Linked DNA regions of Diceros bicornis minor. The protein of the gene in region 1 purifies or fractionates together with the protein of each later gene. This does not show direct contact. Links are inferred from orthologs where the notes say so. Each region holds a gene or a part of one and is shown in the gene's direction. Other genes may lie near its edges.

Region 1 (7,424 bases):
TCCCATCTAGGATGTCAGGTGTGTGCACGTAGGAATGATTGAGGAGGAGAGGCAAGGAAGTGCAGCAGAGGGCAGATCATGCAAGCTTTTGTGTGACAGGCATAATGTCTTTGTCCTGTAAGGGGGGCTCCAGAGGCTATAGATGTATATAGGAGATTGGGAGACTAAAAAACAGTTTTATTGAGGTATAATTGATATACCATAAACTGTACATATTTAATGTCTACAATTTGATGAATTTGGATATATGCTTATACCCATGAAACCATCACCACAATATCAAGGTAATAAATATATCCATCACCCCCAGAAGTTTCCTTGTGTCCTTTTGTGTATATGTTGTGTGTGTGCTAAGAACACTTAACATGGGATCTACCCTCAACAAATTTTTTAATGCATAGTACAGTATTGTTGACTATAGGGAGATGTTTTGGAAGTAAAATCATTTGGACTTCAGGAAGAGAGACAGTATACAAGTAACTGAAGTCTAGGTGACATTGACCCATTGGTTGAGAAGCTGAAGAAGCAAATTTTGGGGGGATGATAATTTTAGTTTAGATGGTTTGAGGCACCTGTAGATACCCAAGTGGAGGTGTCCAATAGGCCATTGGATTAGTGGAGTTGGAGCTCAGGAGAAACTAGACTAGAAATCGAATTTAGTAGTTGAGCTCCTCTTTCAACAATGGTGGACTAAATAATTTGTCCAATCCTCAAGCTGAAGACATCTAAAAATGTTGGATGAAATACTTTAAAAAATCAAAGAACTAATAAGACTGAGAAATTATTGGTGTGAGAGCATGAAAGGACAGGAAAGCAGAGAGATGAGACAGCAGTAGGACTGCTTTTACCCTGGGGTCATTTGCTGATCCGAATTGGTGGCAGAAAATAGGCTGTGTGGTGCAAATGAGACAAAAATTGGAATCCAAACTTCCCCAAAGATGAGAACCTGGTTTGGGCCGGCCCCGTGGCTTAGCGGTTGGGCGCGCGTGCTCCGCTACTGGTGGTCCGGGTATGGTCTGGGCGCGCACCGAAGCACTGCTTCTCGGGCCATGCTGAGGCCACATTCCACATACAGCAACTAGAAGGATGTGCAACTATGACATACAACTAACTACTGGGGCTTTGGGGAAGAAAAAAAGGAGGAAGATTGGCAATAGATGTTAGCTCAGAGCTGGTCTTCCTCAGCAAAAAGAGGAGGATTAGCATGGATGTAAGCTCAGGGCTGATCTCCCTCACCAAAAAAAAAAAAAAAAAGATGAAAACCTGGTAAACTGCCTTCCTGTTTTTCATTAGAATCCTGAAAGGCTGCACTCCTAGAAACCTAGGAGTAGGGTAAATCAGAAGTAAATAGAACATGAGGACCCAAAACATTCAAAACCAAAATTAAGAACCAATCGATGGGTTTAACAGCAAGTTAGACTTGACTTAGGAGCAAGTAATGAATTGGAAGAAAGGACAGAAGACACTACCCAGAATGAAACATGAATAAAAAGGAGTGAAAAACATAAAAGAGAGGGTTAGGGTCATGGAGGATACTGTGAGAAAGTCTGACACACATTTATTTAGAGCCCAGGAAGGAGGAAAATAAAAGACTAGAAGCAATATTTGAAGAGACAATAACTGAGAAACTTTAAAAATAGATGAAATACATCAAGCCACAGATTCAGGAAGTTCAACAAACCAAGTAAGATTTTAAAAAAAATCCATATCTGGACCCATCAGAGTGAAATCACAGGAAATTAAATCAAAGATGAAATCTTTAAAATAGTAAAAAGAGGATTGATTACCTTCAAAGGAGCAACCATTAGATTGCTAGAGAACTTTTTTTTTCAGAGCAAAAATGGAAGCCATAGAAAGTGAAATAATATTGTAAACGTGCTGAAAGAGAATAACTTCCAATCTAGAATTCCATATCTGGAGAAAATGTCCTTCAAAAACAAAGGTGAAATAAAGAGGTATTCAGACAAACTGAAATGGAGAAAGTTAGCCACCAGCAGAGGGGCACGAATTCTCAAGCAGAAGGAATATTATTCCAGATGAATGGTTGGACGTGCAGGAAGAAATAAAGAACATTAAAAATTGTGAATGTAGGGGGCCCGCCCCGTGGGGTAGTGGTTAAGTGTGCGCACTCTGCTGCTGGCGGCTGGGTTTGGATCCCTGGTGCGCAGGGATGCACGCTTGTCGAGCCATGCTGTGGAGGCGTCCCATATAAAGTAGAGGAAGAAGGGCCGGATGTTAGCTCAGGGCTGGTCTTCCTCAGCAAAAAGAGCAGGATTGGCATGGATGTTAGCTCAGGGCTGATCTTCCTCACACACACACACACACACACACACACACAGATTGTAAATCTAAATGACCACTAATTTAGGTAATAAGCATTAATGTCTTGTGAGATTGAAAGTATTTACAGAATTTAAATTCTGTACACGTATACAGCTACGCCTACCCAAGAGAAATGAGTGCATCTCACCACAAGAATCTTGTACAAAACTGTTCCTAGCAGGTTTATTCATAATGGCACCAAACTGGAAACAACCCAAATGTTTTCTGTGTGTCTCAGCCAGTTGGAGGTCCTGAGTTCATCAACAGGAGAATGGATAAACAAACTGTGGTATATTTATGCAATAGAATGCTACTCATAAATAAAAAGGAACAAATTGCTGATGAATGCAAGAACATGTGAGAATCTTGAAACGTGTCAAGCAAAAGAAGCTAGATAAAAAAGAGTACATACAGTGTGAGTCCATTTGTGTGACATTCAAGAACAGACAAAACTAATCTATGATAATGGAAACTAGAATAGTGATTGCCTTGGGGGCAGGGCAAAGGGGTATGAGCTAAGTTTCTGAGGTGATAAAAATGTTCTTTATCTTAATCTGGGTGGTGGTTACACGGACAGAATACATTACTCAAAATTTATGGAGCTGTAGACTTAAAATCTGTGCATTTTGCTGTAGTAAATTATACATCAATAAAACACTTAAAAGAATTACACAACAGCAATAGTATATAATTCTGGAGGGAGTGACGGTGGTAAATGGAATTAAATTATTTCTGCATTTTCACCAGGAGGGTAAAAATGTTACCAAAAATTAGATTTTGCTAAGTCAAGGACGCATGTTGTAATTTTTAGAGTAACCTCTAGAAGAGTAGAAAAAGTGCGTAACTTCCAATTAACAGAGGCAGGGAAGGAATAATAAATATTAACCAATGCAAAAGAAGGCTAGAAGGAGAAGAAGGATTACAGAAGAAACGAAAAGCACATAGTAATATGATTGATTTAAATGCAAATACAGTATATCCGTATACGTGGCTGGTGAAACCTCATATAAGGGTAAAATACGCCAGAGAGTTTGTGGAGTGAGGAAAGAAGAGAAATTGGGGGGAAATCAGGCAATAATGGGTGGGCCGCGTCCTTCTTTCCTTGCCACTTCTTTTGCTCTCGTTTTCTGAGCTCTCTTTCTAAAGGCTGCCTCGGTTTCCCTTCTAGTCCGTCGCCATCAGTGTTTTCCCCCTCTGATTCCATCAATATACTTCCTCCTTTTCTCAAATCCGCTTCTCCTGCCTCGAGTTTCTAGCCTTCTGTGAACTACACCCAGACGTAGTGTTTATTGTTGTTTAAAGTCTCTTCCTATTCCCCTATTTCACATGCTGATGGCAAAAACAGCTTCTAAACGCTGCATTTTTGACGCAGGAAAAAGTAAAAGGAGGGCAGTTACCTTTACTGAGAAAATTTAAGTTGAGAAGAAAAAGCACACGCCTGTAGCAGAGGATGGTTTCGATCCATCGACCTCTGGGTTATGGGCCCAGCACGCTTCCGCTGCGCCACTCTGCTAGCTGGAGAGAAGGTGCCTCATGGTTTCTATAGAAAGTTTTTAGCGCGTTAGCCGTCCTGCCTTCTTTACACAGCGCCGTCTAGTGTCTGGTTGAATAAAAATGCTCATTTTTGTTAAGTCTGTTCTTATTGGCTAGATCCTGACACAGTCAGCATTTTGTATTGGTTCATAAGCCAGTTTGCCATTGTAGACCAATAGGCATAAGCGGCGGGGTAAGGCGGGAGCCAATCGCGCCGGAGTTTGTTGGGACACGCCGGCAAGCCGCCTCTCCATTTATCTCTTCCTCCGAGGAAAGGGGCGGTTGGTGTGGCCTCCATTGTTCGGGTTTTAGGGCGCCATGAGGTAAAGGCACTGGGGTGCTGTAGAATGGTGTCGGGTATTCGACCGAAAACTTTGGGAAGGTGGGCCGAAAGGAGTCGGAGGAGCTGAAAGGGCCACGTGTCTGGGGGCTGCCCTAACACCGAAAAGGCCTCGTCTGGGAGAGTAGGGGAGGTCGGAGGCTGCGGGGGCGGGGAAACTTGGGCCCGGGCTGGGGGTGGGGCGCAGGAGCGGGCAGGCGGTCGGCCCCTCGGTTTTGGAGGGGTCTGGATGAGGGGTGTCCTCGGGTCCCAGGAGAAGCACCCCCATCTAGGCTGGGAAGTCTGGAACGTGCCTCATTCATTCTATGCCAAGTGCTTGACATAGGAAATGCCCGCTAAATGTTTTACTACGTTAATAATAAATGAGCACTCACTTTAGTGCCTCAGGTATTAGGATTGGCGTCTTCCAGGGGTCATGGGGTATTTCTTGTAGGGGTTCAGTGTTTGAGCCCGTCATTATGTTTGGGTGGAGTTGTGACTAAATTATCCAGAATGAGGAGGTCCTGGGGGTGAGGCTGAGCATTTGGAATGGGGAGAAGCGTAGGTGGGAATGGGGTCTCTTGGCTTCCAAAGGGAAGTTCGGAGCGGTGGAGGCAGGCTAACTTGAAGTGATTTGACCGGTATGGTGGAGATGCCTTCAACAGGTCAAAACAGGTTAAAATCTATTTATGCATTTCTAGGGGTGACAGAGGCCGAGGTCGTGGTGGTCGCTTTGGTTCCAGAGGCGGCCCAGGAGGAGGGTGAGTGTCAGTTTTTAGCATCTCTGCACTGCTTAATTTACACTTCAGTCATCTAAATAGGAGTTTGGAGTGGACTGATGCTACCTGCTTTTGTGAGATCCAGCTGTGGTTTAGAAACGTTTCTTTTCATCCTCTCCTGCTAAATGAGTTTGGCCCCATTAGGCTAAGTCACTTGATTTCTGTGGTGAATAATTTGGATTTTTCTTGTTTTAGGTTCAGGCCCTTTGTGCCACATATCCCATTTGATTTCTATTTGGTGAGTATCTTGGCCCCTGTTCACCTATAGACATAGAAATGGAGCCTGGACACTGTTTCACTTGTAGTTTCCTGGAGCCCAGCATCTCCCTGTCAATGAAGTCTTGAATAGTGGCTGGAGTAGGAAAAGGGATTAGTGAGTGGAGCTGGGGTTTTGAGTCAGCTGTGTGTTGCTTTAAGTACAAACACAGTGTAAGGAGGGTGGGGAAGATAATTCCTTGGCTACTGTTGGCAGTAAGGTGATTGTAATCTTTGTTCTGAATAATTAATTGTATCTCTGGCTTATCTGTTAATATAAAGGTAGTGAGAGCTTAAATTATGGCTGTTCCTTGTAGCTTACATCCTTGTTTGAACATCTTGAGTAGACAGGTGTTGTAGAATTTTCTATTTTCAGTTTTTTCTGTTGCGGCAACCGAAAAAAACAATCTTCCCTGTATATTATTTTTGGTAAATAGTATATAATTATTTACTTCTGATTTAGTGTGAAATGGCCTTCCCCCGGGTCAAGCCAGCGCCTGATGAAACTTCCTTCAGCGAAGCCTTGCTGAAGAGGAATCAGGACCTTGCTCCTAATTCTGCTGAACAGGTATATTCTTTTGGCTTCCTTCCTGAGATTTCACTAAGAATGCTAGGGAAGGGGCCAGCATGGTGGTGTAGTGGTTAGGTTTGTGTGCTCCACTTCAGTGGCCCAGGGTTTGCAGGTTTGGATCCCCGGCCCTGACCTATGCACCACTTATCAAGCCATGCTATGGCAGGCGTCCTACATATAAAGTAGAGGAGGATGGATGCTGATCTTAGCCCAGGGCTGATCTTCCTCAGCAAAAAGAGGAGGAGTGGCAACAGATGTTAGCTCAGGGCTAATCATCTTCCTCACCAAAAAAAAAGAAAGAAAGCTAGAGAAGTGAATAACTGCTGGTGAGGTTAAGGTTACTGTTATCAGAGCCTAAACTCCACGGTGGGTTGAATTGTTCTTATTTCTCATTGTGAGTGGAGGGAGACTGCCAGATGAATATATAAACAGGTTACATATGCATTCATATTTTTATTGAGGAATCTATCTTTGGGATCAAAAACTTGTTCTTTTATGACATATTCAAGGCCAGAAGGGTCAGAGTGTTTTCAAAGCCCTATATCAGTATTGATTCCACTTGTATGGAAGGGATTAGGGGAAAATATTCAAATTCTGAGAAGTTGCTCGTAATTTTTCAACTTAGGTTATTTTTGTTTCCTGCTGTTTTTCAGGCTTCTATCCTTTCTTTGGTGACAAAAATAAACAATGTGATTGATAATTTGATTGTGGCTCCAGGGACATTTGAAGTGGTGAGTTTTTGATGATTTATTTAGTCCTAGGAAAGGGCAGCCTTGCTAGTGTGGAAGTTTCCTTGGCTCCTGTCTCTTAATTCTTTGGTTGCCTATTATCCAAAGCCAAGCCGAAAATGGGAAACTACACTGGAATTCCTTTATAGTACTGATTATGGGGACAAGACTTATATCGTTGTTATCAGCTAGCCGTGATGTATCAGGCTTTTCGTTTGGTTGTTTGGGGGATATCACTTGACCTCTGCTACTTCAAATCTGGGTCACAGGAAGCTATGTTGTAATTGAGTTCTGAGAGGCAGTCTTTTCACTTCTAATTTTTTTTCCTGAAATCCCTTTTCCAATAGCAAATTGAAGAAGTCCGACAGGTCGGATCATATAAAAAAGGAACAATGACTACAGGACACAATGTAGCCGACCTAGTGGTAATCCTAAAGATTCTGCCAACATGTGAGTGTACCTCTTTCTGCCCACGGGAGAACATAGCAATTGGGTAGGGATGTTTAAAGCCCAAATTTCTTCTCTTTTGCACCCCAGGGGACATTTGGCAGTGTCTGGAGACATTTTTGGGCTACTGGCATCAAGTGGGTAGAGGCCAGGGATGCTGCTAAGCATCCTCCAGTGCACAGGACAGATCCTATCCCCCAGCCCCCCAAAAGAATTATCCAGCCCCCAATGGCATTAGTGCCACTGGTTAGAAGCCCTACTGTGGAAAAGGGGGTGGGTATAGGAGGAGGTGTCCTGTCCTGTTTCCTGAGCCAATTTTTCTGTCCAGGCATTAGCGTCCACTTGTAAAAGTGTTGATTCTGTTGCTTGCCCTTGTTCCAGCCTTGAACATGGGGCAGATATCAGAGTGTAAAGTAGCTTAGAGATGTATAGAACATCTACGTAAATAATTACAATGTTCATTATCTCCT
Region 2 (8,316 bases), on another chromosome or scaffold:
TGGTAACTTGGTGGCCCATGGGTCTGTGTTCAGTCTCTGCTAAAGCCCAGGAGCAGGGCTAAAGCTATTTCTCAAAAGGAGAGTCATTACCCACGGAGGATGCAGGGCCTTGCTCCCAAATCCTAGAGGCCTGTGCTGAGAGTCCCCTCTGGGAACTGCCAAAGGCTCCATCAGCATCTCTCTCTGCCACGGATATTCAGGCACCATCGGCCGTGCTGGGCCATGTGGCCCAAGTGGCCGAGCAGCTTGCACAGCGGTCGGGATCTGTTGCAGAGCCTTCTCTTGTTCTGGGCCCCACTCAAAACGAGCAGTTTTTCGGGTCACTCAGTAAATGGGCCAGAATAAGGAATATGTTGCCTCCAAAATCCAAAGAGGCCCACTAGGCATTGTACCTCTTTTTTGGTTGTAGGAGGGGCTAGATCCAACAGCTTATCCTTCACCTCAGAAGGGATATCCCAACATGCCCCACACCACTAGACCCCTAGAAATTTCCCTGAAGTAGAAGGCCTCTGAATTTTAGCCAGATTTATTTTCCAACCTTTGACAAGCAAATGTGTCACCAATAACTCTCAAGTGATTGCTACTTCTTTTTTTTTTTTTTTTGTGAGGAGATCAGCCCTGTGCTAACATCTGCCAATCCTCCTCTTTTTTTGCTGAGGAAGACTGACCCTGGGCTAACACCTGTGCCCGTCTTCCTCTACTTAACATGGGACGCTGCCACAGCATGGCTTGCCAAGCAGTGTGTCGGTGTGCACCTGGGATCCGAACCTGCGAATCCCGGGCCGCCGCAGCGGAGCACGCGCACCCAACCGCTTGCGCCACCGGGCTGGCCCCTGGTTGCTACTTCTTGCTCACTAGGTCCAATCAGCATAATGTCATCAATATCATGGACCAACGTGATTATCTTGTGAAGGGGAAGGTGATCAAGGTCCCTGTGGACTAAATTATGCCATAGGCTGGAGAGTTGATATGCCCCTGGGGTAGGACAGTGAACACGTGTCGCTGGCCTTGCCAGCTGAAAGCAAACTGCTTCTGGTGGGCCTTATGGACAGGGGTGGAGAAAAAGGCATTTGCTTCTCAGTAGCTGCATGGCAGGTACCAGGGGGTGGGTTCATTTGCTGGGCAATGAAACCATGTCTGGTATAGCTGCTGCAACTGGAATCACCACCTGGCTAAGCTTATGATAATCTACTCTCATTCTCCACGACCCATCTGTCCTCTGCACAGGCCAAACAGGGGAGCTGAATGAGGATGTGGTAGGAATTGCCACCCCTGCATCTTTCAAGTCATTGATGGCAGCACTCACCTGTGGAACCCTGAGAACGCAGCATCGCTTTTGGTTTACCATTTTCTTAGGTAGAGGAAGCTCTAGTGGCTTTCACTTGGCCTTTCCCACCATAATAGCCCTCACTCCACAAGTCAGGGAACCAATGTGAGGATTCTGCCAACTGCTAGGTGTATCTATTCCAATTATTCCTTCCAGAACTTGGGAAATAACCACAGGATGGGGGAGGTCAGGGACCCACTGGACCCAGCATGAGATGCATCTGAGCTAAAACTCCAGTGTCATCTGACTTCCATAAGGCCCTACTCTGACTGGTGGACCACAGAGACATTTTGGGTCTCCTGGAATTAGTGTCAGTTCAGAGCCAGTGTCCATTAGTCCCTGAAAGGTCTGATTATTTCCCTTTCCCCAATGCATAGTCACCCTGGTAAAGGGCTGTAGGCCCCACAGGGAAAGTCTGGGAGAAAGATTTACAGCATAAAATTCCAGTAGTGCACCAGGGTCCTTCCTTGAGGGGACCCAGCCTCCCCTTCATTCAAAGGGTTCTGGGTCTGTGAACTGCCTCAACTTTGAGAATTGATTGAGGGGGCTGTGACTCTCTGTTTTTATGATTCAAGTTATACTTCTGCTCACTTGACCTAGAACTTTTCGGCTCGTATAGAGCAAGTAAGAATTTAGTAGGCTTCCCATCTATTTCACTTCTAGGAACACCATGATCAACTAGTCAACGCAGAAAGTCTCTGTGAGTCAGACTTTTCTGATTGCTGCTTCGACTCTAATGTCCATTATGGTGACCACACCCACCTTGCCTTTGGTAGTTGAGTGCCACCGCTTGGCCCCTGACACTCTGGGATCCAATTACTCTCTTGCATTTAGGTTTCCCAAATAAGTGGCAGCAGGTAGCACTATAAATTCTGGCCTACAAAGAAGAATGATCACAGAGCTCTTCAAGGATGCTGGGGCTACCCTCACAAATTTATTTCTCACAATCATGGTGAAAGGTGTATCCTCTAGACCCTCTGAGGGTGAGTCTTAAATGACAAATCCACTCTAACATTCCAATCTCCCTGAGCCTTTGACTCCATTGCTCTATAGTAAACCATAGTTACTGTTGAATTGTTTATTTATCCTTTCAATTTTATCACATTTTGCTTCATGTATTTTGGGGCTTTGTTGTTAGGTGCATATATGTTTATAACTGTTATATCTTCATGATAGATTAGAACTTTTATCATTATATAATGTTTTTTGTCTCAAGTAACAATTTTGGTCTTAACATCTATTTTATCTGATATTAATATGGCAATCCAGCTCTCTTTTCTTTACTGTTTGCATGGAATATCTTTTTCTATCCCTTTACTTTCTTTTTTTTTTTTTTTTTTGGTAAGGAAGATCAGCCCTGAGCTAACATCTGTGCCTATCTTCCTCTATTTTTTTTTTTGTTTGGTAAGGAAGATCAGCCCTGAGCTAACATCCATGCCAATCCTCCTCTTTTTGCTGAGGAAGATTGGCCCTGGGCTAACATCCATGCCCATCTTCCTCCATGGCATGGCGTCGGTGCGCACCCGGAATCTGAATCCCGGGCTGCTGCAGTGGAGTGCACGCACTTAACCGCTATGCCACCGGGCCAGCCCCTCCATTTACTTTCTTTTTTTTTTTTTTAATTTTTATTTATTTATTTTTCCCCCAAAGCCCCAGTAGATAGTTGTAAGTCATGGTTGCACATCCTTCTAGTTGCTGTATGTGGGACTCAGGCTCAGCATGGCCAGAGAAGCAGTGCGTCGGTGCGCGCCTGGGATCCGAACCCAGGCTGCCAGCAGCGGAGCGTGCGCACTTAACCGCTAAGCCATGGGGCCGGCCCCCTCCATTTACTTTCAATCTATTTGTGTCTTTGAATCTAAAGTGACTCTCTTGTAGACAGCATATAGTTAAATTGTGTTTTTTAAAAAAATTTATCTGACAATCTCTGCCTTTTAAGTGAAGAGTTTCATCCATTTCCATTTAATGTAATTACTGATAAGGACTTATTTCTGCCATCTTGTTATTTGTTTTCTATATGTTTATATCTTTTTTTTTCAATTATTCCATTACGGACTTCTTTTGTATTAGACATGCTTTAGTGTGCCATCCAAAATGTCATTTTGCAAATGTGAGTATATGTAGGAAATAAGAGGAGAGCCTTAGGGGCCGGCTTGGTGGTACAAGCGGTTAAGTGTGCCCACTCAGCTTTGGTGGCCCAGGGTTCGCAGGTTCAGATCCCAGGTGCGCACCATTGCACCGCTTGTCAAGCTGTACTGTGGTGGCTTCTCATATTAAAAAAAAAAAGTAGGGGCCGGCCCCGTGGCGTAGCCATTAAGTGAGCACATTCTGCTGCTGGCGGCCCGGGCTTGGATCCCAGGCGTGCACCGACGCACCACCTGTCAGGCCATGCTGTGGCAGCGTCCCACATAAAGTGGAGGAAGATGGGCAAGGATGTTAGCTCAGGGCCAATCTTTCTCAGCAAAAAGAGGAGGATTGGCATGGATGTTAGCTCAGGGCTGATCTTCCTTACCAAAAAAAAAAAAAAAAGTAGAGGAAGATAGGCACAGATGTTAGCTCAGGGCCAATCTCCCTCAGCAAAAAAAAAAAAAGAGGAGAGCCTTAGAAGTGGAATTGCTAGATCAAAGGTGCAGAGGGGCCTGCATTTAAAACTGATAGTGTTACCACATTGGTCTTATATGCTTTTACCAGTTCAATTGGATATTTTCCAAAGAGGGCTTTGTTTTTTATCAAAACCATCCATTGGCTTGTTGGGATTCCCTCTTCAACTGTGTCTTCCTGGAGAGGGAGCACCTAATTATTCATTTTCTATATTCTCACATTTTAGTGCATAGTAGGAGACCAGAAAAGATGTGAAGAAGGAAAAAGGAACCTCTTATACGTCGTGACAGGAATATTGGAAAATGAGGAACCAGGCAGGATCAGGAACTATTAGTGCAGCTGTGCAAACCAGGAGCCCTGTGAGCTGACTTCAAGTATTTAGAGAGCCTCAGAAACTTGGGACAGAAAGGAAGTGGCGAGTTCTCCAAGACACTTTACAAAAAAGGAAGCTAGAGGCTGGAAGTTAGGAGATTAAGGCTCATAAACCAGTAGCTGAACTTGGACAACCTTTTACTGAGCACCTACTGTGTGTGGGCATTACTCTTCCCAAGGGGAAGACCATGTGATGAACAAAGCCAGCCCCTGTCCATGTGGAACTTTCCTTACTTAACAATTAAGGGAGTGAATAGTAGTTCACTTATTCTTCATCCCATCTTGATGGTTATTATCATCCTTTTCTAGTGGAGGAAACCTTAGGCTCAGAAAGGCGAATTCACTTGTACAGTCACACAGCCAGTAGGTGGCCAGATCTGGATTTCACCCCAGCGCAAGCGCTCCCAATCGCTTTATCATATACTGCCTCTTGAATAATATTATTGTCCGAAGCAGCAGCAACCACCATTTATGCGTGCCAGGCTCCGTGCTAAGGACTGCCCCCATTTGTTTATTCAACCAGTGCACAGTGAGCATCTACTATGGGTCAGGCACCCCCATTTTACGGATGGGGAAACCGAGGCCCAGGAAGCTTCTCCGAGACATGAGGGTGCGCCGTGCCGCCAAGCCTCTCCAATTGGGTGTTCCAAGACCACCTACGTAATGCATTCAGCTACTGCTCAATTAACCCGAGGCACTGTCGCAGTCGGTACGGCCACAACCACCACACCCTCACCGCCCGCCGCCCGGGCGCCACTGAACTGCGGTTTGGGCGGGACCACGGCCTCGTGCGGCCGCCGCGGCGGCGGTTGGAAGCCCCGCCTCCCGCGCGCGCGCGCTGCGCCTCCTGTCGGCCCGCTCGGCTCCGGGCGTCCGGGCGCGGTTGGAGGCGCCGCGAGGAGCGCGCGCGCCTGCGCCGGCGTCGGGCTCGCGCACGCGCACGGCGGCGGTTCCTGCTGGGAGCTGCGAGCGGCGGGCGGCTCCGAGAGGAGCGGCGGCGCTCAGGGGCTCGGCGGCGGCGGGGGCGGCTCGGCGCGCGTGACTCTCTGCCCGGCTTGCGCCGCGGCAGGCGTTTTGGTCCGGTCCAGGGGCGGGAGCGCGGCGGCGGCGGCGGCGGTCCGAAGTCCGAGGCCTGCGGCCTAGGCCTCAGCGCGGCGGCGGGCTCGAGTGCGGCGCGGAACCGGCCTGAGGGCCGTACGCGGCGGCACCATGAGCGTGGAGGCGTACGGGCCCAGCTCGCAGACGCTCACCTTCCTGGACACCGAGGAGGCCGAGCTGCTTGGCGCCGACACGCAGGGCTCGGAGTTCGAGTTCACCGACTTCACCATCCCCAGCCAGACGCAGACGCCCCCCGGCGGCCCCGGCGGCGGCGGCGCAGGGGGCCCGGTCGGCGTGGGCGCGGGCGCCGCGGCCGGACAGCTCGACGCGCAGGTGAGCGGCACATGGCGGCGCCGGAAGCCCGGACGGGCTTCTTCTCGGCGGCCGGAGACTTGCCGGGCTAATGCGCCCCGGGTCCCGCTCTCCGGCCGGGTCCGGAGTAACCTGGCTCGGGATCTCACTCAGGACTTGCCGGGTAACCTGGCTCGGGATCTCACTCATGACTTGCCGGGAGGAACCTGCCCCGGTTCCCGCTCTGAGTCCCGCTCTGGTTGCGTCCGGGTCATCTGTTCAGGATCTAGTTCAGGCTGGGTCTTAGGTGACCTGCCCCAAGTCCTCTTCCGGGCCTGTCCGGGGTGACCTGCCCTAGCACTGATTCCGGCCAGGTCGGGGGTGATCTGCCCCCCAGTACCCCTCCACCTGGGTCCGTGCCCTGCTCAAGGCGGCTCCGGGGGTATCTGCCCCGGTCCCTCCTCTGGCCAGTCCCGCCGCCCTGCCCTACTAGCTGCCTGTGGTCGCAGCAATCTGGGCACCCCCCCCAGTCATGCCCACTGAGCAGCGGGTTCAAATTTCCCCGGGCCCAGGGACGCTGGCGAGGGTGACGGTAGATGCTCCTGGAACAGAAATGGAATTTCTGCCTCCAGTCGAGAGCCCCACGCTCGTTGGCTATTAAGATTATTGAAGAGGCAGGTTGGGTTTTTTTTTTCCTTCTTGCATTGCCTGTTGCTGAAACTGACCTGTTACGTAACTGCACAGCCCTGCCTTGGAAAAGTTGGGTTTGAGTTTGTTCCTCCAATGGGGCAGTGATAGTGAGTTTTACATAAATGGGTCTGCCACGTCAGAAACTTTTGTTTTTAATGATATGGACGTTTGGCAAAGCCTACTTGGGTGTTTTAAATTTGAGTTTGGTTATGAGAAGTATCAGGCGTACATTTCGGTGACCTGGGTCCCTGCCCCAGGATGGGAGAGGGGTCTGGCTGGGGTCCCAGGGAATGTTGCGGTCATTCTCTGGATCTCAGATTACGTTTACCAAATTTCCCTGTGCCCAGCACCTCCCTCAGGTTTATTTTCCTGAATTCTCAACCAGGGAGGAGCTAAGAGGCTCACTTTGTCACAGGTGTCCTTTGCTCTGAGGACCCACTGCCAGGGCTGGGGAGCCACCCATCCTCAGCAGGAATGAGCTCAGATCCTGTCCTTGGGGGAGGGGGCTTACATTCTAGTTGGTTGAGTCACTCCAGTGGGTAGACCACCCACTTCTTTCTTTTAGCCCTTAATACAAGCAGAAAACATTTGACTCATTCTAACCCCAGATTCCTTAAAAATAGAAGTCCAGTGGGTGGGGCATTGGGGAGAACAGGTGTACAAGTATGTATGTTTCTCAGTTTTGTTTACATATGGTGGAGGGAGGTAGGAGAGGGGAGTTTGCATGGAGAAATGAAGGAGCCGCTGGAGGCTGCTGCTAACGCCTGTAGTTTCAAGCTTTGTAGACCCCTCTGTTTCCACAGCTGTGAAATGAAGGTAGCAGCTATGTTTTTGTTACTTTTCAACATTCATGAAATCTGGACTCGTGTATGAATGGACCAGATAGTGCTGCCTGTAACTTGTGGCCAGCATACCTGGAAGGCTGAGGATAAAGATCTCTTGGTTGAACAGTGTGCCATGCTCTGTAGCAGCTCAGGGTTGTGAAAGGTAGTCGTTTTACTGCAAATCTTTTTTTAACTGCAGCCAATATAAAACAGCAAACCTGGGGCAGCTCTGAGTTCTAGTTTTGTTCCTTGCCATCTGTTTGCGATTAATTGTGAGGCGTGTCCTTCTCTTTCAGTTGAAGTAATCAATTTATTTTCCTGCACCTGAACACTGTACAAAATAATAGCATTAAAACGCTCCACCGAAGGTAAACCTTGCAGTTGAGCTCATTTGAGTTCTGATGACATCAGAAGGGTCTGTCCGTCCTTCCTTTTAATGAAGCCTAAGGATCCACCCACCTATAGCCTAACTTTTGATTTGTATTTGGGGAAGGGAAGTGATATCCTTTGTGTCACAAGAGGAGGCCCTGAATTTGGGCATAGGAAAGTCTGAATAGAATCACAAAGGGGAAAAAAGTTAATTATCTCCTGTGCCAGTTGGTGGCATTGGCTGCCTGCAGCATTTGGGAGGATTTTCCTTATTTGTCCTCAGGAGTTGGCTGTATAACCAGCTATACGATGGGGCTTCCAGAAAGACTCAAAAAACCTCCCATTGTGAATGCCTTTTCATTCCGTCTTATTGGATGAGTGGCTGTGAATTGTCAACTGCTGTGTGGTCTCTTTTGTTTCACAGCTTTATTGAGATAGAATTCACATACCATATGATGCACTCGTTTCGAGTGTCCAATTCAGTGGCTTTTAATACATTCAGAGGTATGCCACCACCAGCACAATCAATTTTAGGACATTTTTGTTACCCTAGAAAGAAACCCTGCAACCCTCAGCCCGTCAATCCTCCCTTCTCCAACCCCAGGCCACCACTAATCTTTCTGGATTTATCTACTCTGAACGTTTCATATGGATGGAATCATACAGTATGTAATCTTTTGTGTCTGGCTTCTGTCACTGAGCGTGTCTTCAAGGTTTGTCCATGGTGTAGCAGTATCTGTTCCATTC

The links. Proteins that work in one complex are often made in the same cells at the same time.
Region 2: the proteins of ILF2 (region 1) and UPF1 purify together in Homo sapiens (affinity purification with mass spectrometry; 3 studies listed by BioGRID and IntAct, counting the BioPlex papers as one, with this or other methods). This does not show direct contact. The link is inferred for Diceros bicornis minor from reciprocal best matches to the Homo sapiens genes ILF2 and UPF1.

What each region holds. Positions count from the first base shown.
Region 1 is NC_080743.1:57,899,079-57,906,502, reverse strand, and holds the start of ILF2 (interleukin enhancer-binding factor 2), read left to right. Parts: upstream 1-4,083; 5' UTR 4,084-4,173; coding exon 4,174-4,178; intron 4,179-4,875; coding exon 4,876-4,935; intron 4,936-5,148; coding exon 5,149-5,191; intron 5,192-5,671; coding exon 5,672-5,776; intron 5,777-6,432; coding exon 6,433-6,510; intron 6,511-6,854; coding exon 6,855-6,957; intron 6,958-7,424. UniProt on the Homo sapiens protein: Chromatin-interacting protein that forms a stable heterodimer with interleukin enhancer-binding factor 3/ILF3 and plays a role in several biological processes including transcription, innate immunity or cell growth.
Region 2 is NC_080759.1:6,386,335-6,394,650, forward strand, and holds the start of UPF1 (regulator of nonsense transcripts 1), read left to right. Parts: upstream 1-5,313; 5' UTR 5,314-5,506; coding exon 5,507-5,728; intron 5,729-8,316. UniProt on the Homo sapiens protein: RNA-dependent helicase required for nonsense-mediated decay (NMD) of aberrant mRNAs containing premature stop codons and modulates the expression level of normal mRNAs.